Linked DNA regions of Callithrix jacchus. The protein of the gene in region 1 interacts with the protein of each later gene in a pairwise test. Links are inferred from orthologs where the notes say so. Each region holds a gene or a part of one and is shown in the gene's direction. Other genes may lie near its edges.

Region 1 (3,745 bases):
AAGTGAAGAATGAGAAGCTGTACCGCAGGTGTTTCCTTACGAAGACCAATTTTGGGAAAGTTGAGGTTCTGGAAATTAAATCCCTTACATGTCCCAAGTCCCAGTCCCCTCCGAGAGTTTTATGTTCCCATTTTGAAAGCTGTAGACTTTGACAACGGGAGAGAAGTGATGTGGGATTGTTTAATGAACGGTGTTTGCCATTCCGGGACTCAGCGTTAGGGATCTAAGGACCTCTGTGGCCCCAGTTAAGTGGCAAGATGTTGTGAAAGTGGGAATCTCAACGATTGGGACCCTGTTAACATTTCTGGTTTCCTCATAAGCTCACCTCTGGAAACAGCCTTGCCTCCACGACACCCTACAGTCTCCCTAAACTCAACGAGGTGAGTATCAGTTTGTTTCTTCATCCTTTATTCTTTTTTCAGCTCTCCCAGAAGAGGAGGCGGAGACCCAAGGTATTTTCGTCTCACAGACTCTCCTCCAAGTCCCACCCCATCATTGCCTATCCACAGACCCTGCGGGGGGGCCTCCACGACAAAGCACGGCCTCCTGGTCAGCACAAACGGCCCCTCGAGGACCCCCTCCGGAGAAGCAGAACCATTCGAGTCCCACCAGTTTGGTTGGCCATTAGTTCTGTGGTGAAGCTTGAAAAGCAAATCAACAACAGTAGCAATAATAATAATAACAACACTTTTGCATGGCGCGTTGTGCTCATTTGTATGCATGTGTTATAACAATCGGGAGACGCAGACCCTGGCAGTGGAAGCAACTGCTGGACAGCGGCAAGGAGCGCGCCGCCTAGCGGGGAAAGGGGAAGGAGCAGCCGAATAAGCCTTGGAAATGGGAATCTGGGAATCTGGGGGACAGGAAAGCAGGGCCAGAAGGCTTGCCAACAGCCCAGCTGAAATAAAAAGGTTTTACTTCCCTTTTAAGAGACTTCTGCCCTTCCATGAAATCCTGCGCAGCTTTGGAAAGCCCAATTCCTTATCCACCCTGTACGGTTCCCCTGCCCCTGCTCGAAAAGGAGGCTCGGTCCTCCCTACATGCTACTCGCCAGCGATTAGGCCCCAAGCAGGAAGTTTCTGATTGGCAGAGTCGTAGAAGCACCGGGTGAAAAGAGCTCCACTGGCTGCGCACCGGAGTCCGGGTTTAGCCAGCGCCGTACGGCAAAATGGCGGCCCCCAGCTGCTTTGGGAAGCTTGGGTTGGGGGAGACAAACTCCGATCTGAAAGAGAGCGCTATGTGGGCGGCACTGAAAGTGTTCACGGGGCGGGCCTACGGCCACTTCCGTCCACAGAAAGACTGGGTTCCGTACGACAATATGGCGGCGCTTAGTTGCCTGTAGGCGGAAACTCTGTGACTTCCGGTCCGTAGTGGGGCCTGCGGTGGGAGGGGGAAGGAAGGCGGAGGGAACCATGCGAGGTTCTGAGATCAGCCGCGAGGGTCGCCTCGAGAGACCGTTTCTGAGGTGGGGGCCGGCCGGTGCGGGGACCAGAGGCAGGGGCGGGGATATCGGGGGAGGGGTATGGGGGAGAGCCAGGCATTGGGTCTGAGGTGAAAGCTGTGATACCTTCCTATCCCTGAAAGGGAGTGGGGCGGCCGGGGGTTGAACTGGGGGAGGGGGATTTGGCGGGAAGCGCGTCTACTGGACCTGCTCGACCCAGGGTTGGGATCTAAGAGGAATCGGGAGAACGCAGCGCGGAGGCTGGGGGGTACTTTTGATCAGGTCACAGAGAGAATGGGGAAAATTAGGGTGGGGTGAGAGGGAGGGGACTTGGAGTAAAATATCTTCAACCTGAAGCCCCAGTTTGAGGAGACTCATCAGAGGGTGAAATATGGAGCCAGTTCAAGGAGGGGAAAAGAGAACGGACTGTTGGGAGGGAACCTCTTTTGCCTCAGAGAGTCTAGAAGTTGGGGTGATCATTCAGGATGGGGTGGGTGTGGGGTTGACATGTTTGAGGACAGACGTGGCAAATACATAAGGTGGCGCCCATAAGAGTGTGTTATCTGTACAAGGGGGTGTCAGGACGATTTGGGGTGCAGTGTGGGAGGAAGACTCAACTTGCCAACTCTGAGAAATAGTGGAGAGACGAAACTGAAAGACCGGAAATCGACGTGAGGGGTGGAGCAGAAGGTGGCAACTTATGGTGTGGGGGTGGTTTGCCCTCCCCACACCACTTGAAGAGCCCGAAAAGCATATAGAACTAATGGTTATTGAAATCAGGTGGTGAAGATAGTTTTGGTCAGGGATGGATGTTACTGAAACCCAAGGAGTTAGGAAAATGTGTGAGGTGAAGGGATGGGGCAATGCTGGAGGGGATCATTCTGAGGCCCCATCCCCTTCCAGCAGGAATTCTGAAATCCCCACCACTTCCTCCGTCTGGGGGATTTGATCCCCCATGGCCACCGCTAACAGCATCATTGTGCTGGATGATGATGACGAAGATGAAGCAGCTGCTCAGCCAGGGCCCTCCCACCCACTCCCCAGTTCGGCCTCGCCTGAGGCAGAAGCCCCTAGCTCCTCTGAGCCTCATGGGGCCAGAGGACGCAGTAGTTCGGGAGGCAAGAAATGCTACAAGTTGGAGAATGAGAAGCTGTTCAAAGAGGTGAGCTTTAGTGGGAAGATTTTTGTACCCCAGGGAGGGGGATGGCTGACTGGCTCTCCTGTCCTTTCTTCCCCACTAACCCCACCACCCCTTTCTCTCAACCCTTCCCTTGTCTCTCTTCCCTTCCCTTCTTCCCCTGAACCTTCCAGTTCCTTGAACTTTGTAAGATGCAGACAGCAGACCACCCTGAGGTGGTCCCATTCCTCTATAGCCGGCAGCAACGTGCCCACTCTCTGTTTTTGGCCTCGGCGGAGTTCTGCAACATCCTCTCTCGGGTCCTATCTCGGGCCCAGAGCCGGCCAGCTAAGCTCTATGTCTACATTAATGAGCTCTGCACTGTTCTCAAGGCCCACTCAGCCAAAAAGAAGCTGAACTTGGCCCCTGCTCTCACCACCTCCAATGAGCCGTCTGGGAATAACTCTCCCACACACCTCTCCTTGGACCCCACAAATGCTGAAAACACTGCCTCTGAGGCCCCAAGGACCCGTGGTTCCCGGCGGCAGATCCAGCGCTTGGAGCAGCTGCTGGCACTCTATGTGGCAGAGATCCGGCGGCTGCAGGAAAAGGAGTTAGATCTCTCGGAATTGGACGACCCAGACTCCACATACCTGCAGGAGGCACGCTTGAAGCGTAAGCTGATCCGCCTCTTTGGGCGACTATGTGAGCTGAAAGACTGCTCTTCACTGACGGGCCGTGTCATAGAGCAGCGCATCCCCTACCGTGGTACCCGCTACCCAGAGGTTAACAGGCGCATTGAGCGGCTCATCAACAAGCCAGGGCCTGATACCTTCCCTGACTATGGAGATGTGCTTCGGGCAGTGGAGAAGGCAGCTGCTCGCCACAGCCTTGGCCTCCCCCGACAGCAACTCCAGCTCATGGCTCAGGATGCCTTCCGAGATGTGGGCATCAGGTTACAGGAACGACGGCACCTCGATCTCATCTACAACTTTGGCTGCCACCTCACAGATGACTATAGGCCAGGTAGGGGGTTAGTGGGATACCTGTCAGTGACCTTTATATTGTCAGGTATGAGGCGGATGGGGCATCTCTCTAGTCCTTTCTAGGGTTTGTACTCTTCTAGGCCCTTCAAGGGCTGAGTGCTCTGACTTTATGTCTTCCCATGTAGGCATTGACCCTGCGCT
Region 2 (3,745 bases), on another chromosome or scaffold:
ACACAATGAAACCCGGTCTCTACTGAAAATACAAAAATTAGGTGGGTGTGGTGGCACGCGCCTGTAGTCCCAGCTACTCGGGAGGCTAAGGCAGGAGAATCGTTTCAACCAACCTGGGAGGCGGAGACAGCAGTGAGCCGAGATCGCACCACTGCATTCCAGCCTGAGATACAGAGCAAGACTCCATCACAAAAAAACGAAAAACAGGACCGGGCGCGGTGGCTCAAGCCTGTAATCCCAGCACTTTGGGAGGCCGAGGCGGGTGGATCACGAGGTCAAGAGATCGAGACCATCCTGGTCAACATGGTGAAACCCCGTCTCTACTAAAAATATAAAAAATTAGCTGGGCATGGTGGTGCGTGCCTGTAATCCCAGCTACTCGGGAGGCTGAAGCAGAATTGCCTGAACCCAGGAGGCGGAGGTTGCAGTGAGCCGAGATCGCGCCATTGCACTCCAGCCTGGGTAACAAGAGCGAAACTCTGTCTCAAAAAAAAAAAAAGAAAAGAAAAACAAAAACAAAAAACAAACTTGGAATGATTATGTCAAAGGCTAGGATATAAGGATTTAATGTGTTGAGGCGGACACCTATTCCTCACTTGCTTAGGGACCCCAGACAGGCCCTTCCTCTCACTGATTCAGTTTTTTTCCCCCCAGAATGGGCACAAGCCCCCTTTTTCCTCCAGACCCTCCCCGGCCTGGGAAAATCCACCGAGTGTTCGAGGAGTGGGAGTTCCTTTGAGCCAATCGGTGGTGCCTGAAACCCCGCCTCCTTCACTACCCTTGGGCCAATCGTCGTGTTCTCCTTGAAGCCGGCCGCTTGGCGAGGGTGGGCCAAGGGCTGCGTGACGTCATGTTAGGATAAATCAATGGGAGCGATGAGGAGGCGGGTCGTTTTGGTGATGGACAGGCATTTCGAGACGCCCCTTTAGCGCGGGGCTCGCCGGGAAGCTTTGAGGCGGTGCTGGGGTAAAGGGGCGGGCATTTATGTAGACTTTGCCCAATCACCAGTCGCGCTTTTTGCAATAGACGGGCAGTTTTCCCCATCCCAGGTCGACTTGAGGGGGCGGGACTCTGGGCGCCAGAGTTGGCAAACCCCTGACCTATGATCGACGTCTTCTCTACCCAATAACTAGACGGTATTCTCAGACGGGCTGCCTCCTTTACCAATGAAATCTTCCGGCGGGGTCGCGGTAGGCGGGCCCTAGACCTTCTGGTATAAGACGGTCCCGGGGGAGTGAGGAGAAAGGGGGGGTCTTGGCGGCCGGAGGAGGATTAGGTGCGGGTGAAGATGGCGGCAGCCGAGGCCGCGAACTGCATCATGGAGGTGAGCGCTTGAAGCGCCGCCTTGAGAGGGGGGCGGCTTTGGGTCGGTGTTTCACAGCTCTGTGGTGGGGAAAGGGCTCTAAGTCGGCGACAGGAGGTTAGAGGTCGCCCGCCGCACACGGGGTCACCGCACGCTCCGCATCCGGGGATATCGTTTTAAGTTGCGGTTCCCTAGCTTTCAAGGGCCTTCGGCATCCGGCCTAGCGGAGGGTCTCATCCCCCCTCCCACGTGGAGGGGGGCTGGGGGCGCTTCCGGCCAGGCCCCCACGTGGCCTCGGCGCGGTGGGTGGGGAGGGGGTGTGCCGAGTCCGGTGGCCTGGCGGGCTCCACGTGCGGGACAAAGGCCCCGCCCCCGGCCGGGGAGGGGCGCCCGGGGGGGCGGGGAGGGGGCCCGACCCTCCGTCTGAGGCCACCAGCTCTCCTCCCCGGAGACGCGGGCACACGCCTTGGGGTGGGATTGATCTGGGGCCCACCAAGATGTAGGGAGTCTCTGGGGAAGGGCAGTGCTTCTCAGCCCTTTACAACCTCCTTCCGAGCTCCGGGGACATCTGTTGGGACAGCGGCCCCGGTTTTGTGCGTTCTGGGTTAGGCACTGGAGGAAGACAAAAGAATGGGGTCCCCCCGACCCCGTTTCCCATCTCAGAATTCTCCCCCTAGCCCAGAGCTTTAGGAGTTGGGGGATGGGGCATGCCCCTGTGACCTCCCTCTGGGTGGTTGTGGGGCATCTAGGTGGAGATTTTCCCATTAATAGGTGCCGTGCACCCCCTTGTGGCCATTTCTGGGTGTGTGGGAGGAACATCTTTTTCATGGGGCGTGTCCCGAAGCCCACCTACCGTCGGATTTCTTCCGGGCGGGGGAGGGAGGAGGGTATATCCGCTGGGAATGAGTGGTGGTGGGAAATACGTAGGCTGAGAGCTTTATCCTCTCCTGGAGCCCTTTATCTCCCCCGGGCCTTTGTGAGGGCGGGAGATGACCCCCCCCCCAGGGGGTCCTGAACCCCGGGGTCCTGAGGCTGGCTGCCTGAAAGGGTTTCGAGTTAGGTTGGGTTCTCTTTCAGCCATGTGGGGGAGGTTTCCGTCTTGCGTTTCAAGCCCTCTTGGGCTGGAATTGTCTTGAGGTAGTTTTCAGCGTGATTGAGAAATGGGCCCCCGCGGGAAAACCCCCCAGCACTTCTTATAGGCATCCGCGCTGGCTTGGGAGAGCTGGGGGGAGGGTGCTTGCAGCCTAGTAGGTCATGGCCTGTGATGTGGCCCTTCTTGGAGACTTGGAAAGTGGTCACATCTGGAAGAGATGTAATCTGATGGGACCTCTGTTCTTCCACCCCTTACCTATGGCACTGGCTGGAGGGGCAGGTCAGCTCTCAGGATGCAGTTCCCAGGGGTCACTGCTATGACTTCCCACCCCCTTGGCGGTCTCCTGCACCAGGGCTCTAAGGGTGGAGGAAATATCTTCCCCAGGGGTGGCCTCAGGCTTGGCCGCACCTAGGGGTCTTCAGGGCCTAGGATGGGTGTCTGAATGGAGGCGATGGGCTGACTCCCCAAGCCACTTTCTGGAGTCCTCTCATTCTTAGAGAGTCCAGGGGCTGCCCATCATCCCTGGGACTCCATCTTCCAGGGCAGAGGGTTGTAAGGGAGGGGGTTGGTTCCCGCTGGTTTTGTTTGGGGGCTCCTGAGCCCAAGGCAGGAGCTGGGGACTGGGGTACTAGCTCTGGGGGAGTGCCTGTGGGCCAAACCTCTTTTCTGGAATCCTCTCAGACAAGAGACTGGTTTGCAGAGGTGGCAGATGCCCTGTGGGCATAGCCTGCCAGCCCCCCTCCCTCCTGCTATTCATGGCACCCTAGGATAGGGGTGTGTGTGTCAGGAAGTGTCACCTAATCTGGGGGAGATTATGTGATGAGGGGGAGCGACAGCTGGCGGTGGCCAGTGCCAATTTCCCTGGCCTGGATGGGGGAGGTGTGTGGTCAGCTGCCTGGCCAGAGAGGAGCAACGTGGGGGCGGGCCACCATCTCTCCAGCCACAGCTGGGGTCGGAGACCCCCTTTCTTTTCTCTCCCCTCACTTTTCCCATCCCTTCTTAAGCACCCCACCTCATTACTTGCCCCCTTTGCCACCACTCCCCACAAAGAAGAAGAATTGCTGGAAACCCACCCACCCCACCTCCTGCCAGAGCCCAGGTCCCGCCGCCCAGCCCCCTGCAGCCACTCCTGGTAGCTAATCCTTTTTCCCTGTTACTCTCTCCTAGAATTTTGTAGCCACCTTGGCTAATGGGATGAGCCTCCAGCCGCCTCTTGAAGAAGTAAATATCCTTTTGTGAGACCCCTCCCCACCCTGACCTCCACATCAGTATATCTTGCCACACACTGGCCCTTTCTCGAGGTCTAATCATACCCCTCTTGCTTCAAACCAGTTGACCCCAGGCCCCCA

Evidence for each region.
Region 2: the proteins of DAXX (region 1) and PRMT1 interact in a two-hybrid assay, tested with the Homo sapiens proteins (2 studies listed by BioGRID and IntAct). The link is inferred for Callithrix jacchus from reciprocal best matches to the Homo sapiens genes DAXX and PRMT1.

Annotation. Positions count from the first base shown.
Region 1 is NC_133505.1:41,563,434-41,567,178, reverse strand, and holds the start of DAXX (death domain-associated protein 6), read left to right. Parts: upstream 1-1,372; 5' UTR 1,373-1,465; intron 1,466-2,344; exon of another isoform or gene 2,345-2,347; 5' UTR 2,348-2,396; coding exon 2,397-2,603; intron 2,604-2,752; coding exon 2,753-3,584; intron 3,585-3,729; coding exon 3,730-3,745. UniProt on the Homo sapiens protein: Transcription corepressor known to repress transcriptional potential of several sumoylated transcription factors. Down-regulates basal and activated transcription.
Region 2 is NC_133523.1:43,444,231-43,447,975, forward strand, and holds the start of PRMT1 (protein arginine N-methyltransferase 1), read left to right. Parts: upstream 1-1,244; 5' UTR 1,245-1,288; coding exon 1,289-1,324; intron 1,325-1,423; exon of another isoform or gene 1,424-1,605; intron 1,606-3,563; coding exon 3,564-3,617; intron 3,618-3,745. UniProt on the Homo sapiens protein: Arginine methyltransferase that methylates (mono and asymmetric dimethylation) the guanidino nitrogens of arginyl residues present in proteins such as ESR1, histone H2, H3 and H4, FMR1, ILF3, HNRNPA1, HNRNPD, NFATC2IP, SUPT5H, TAF15, EWS, HABP4, SERBP1, RBM15, FOXO1, CHTOP, MAP3K5/ASK1, MICU1 and NPRL2.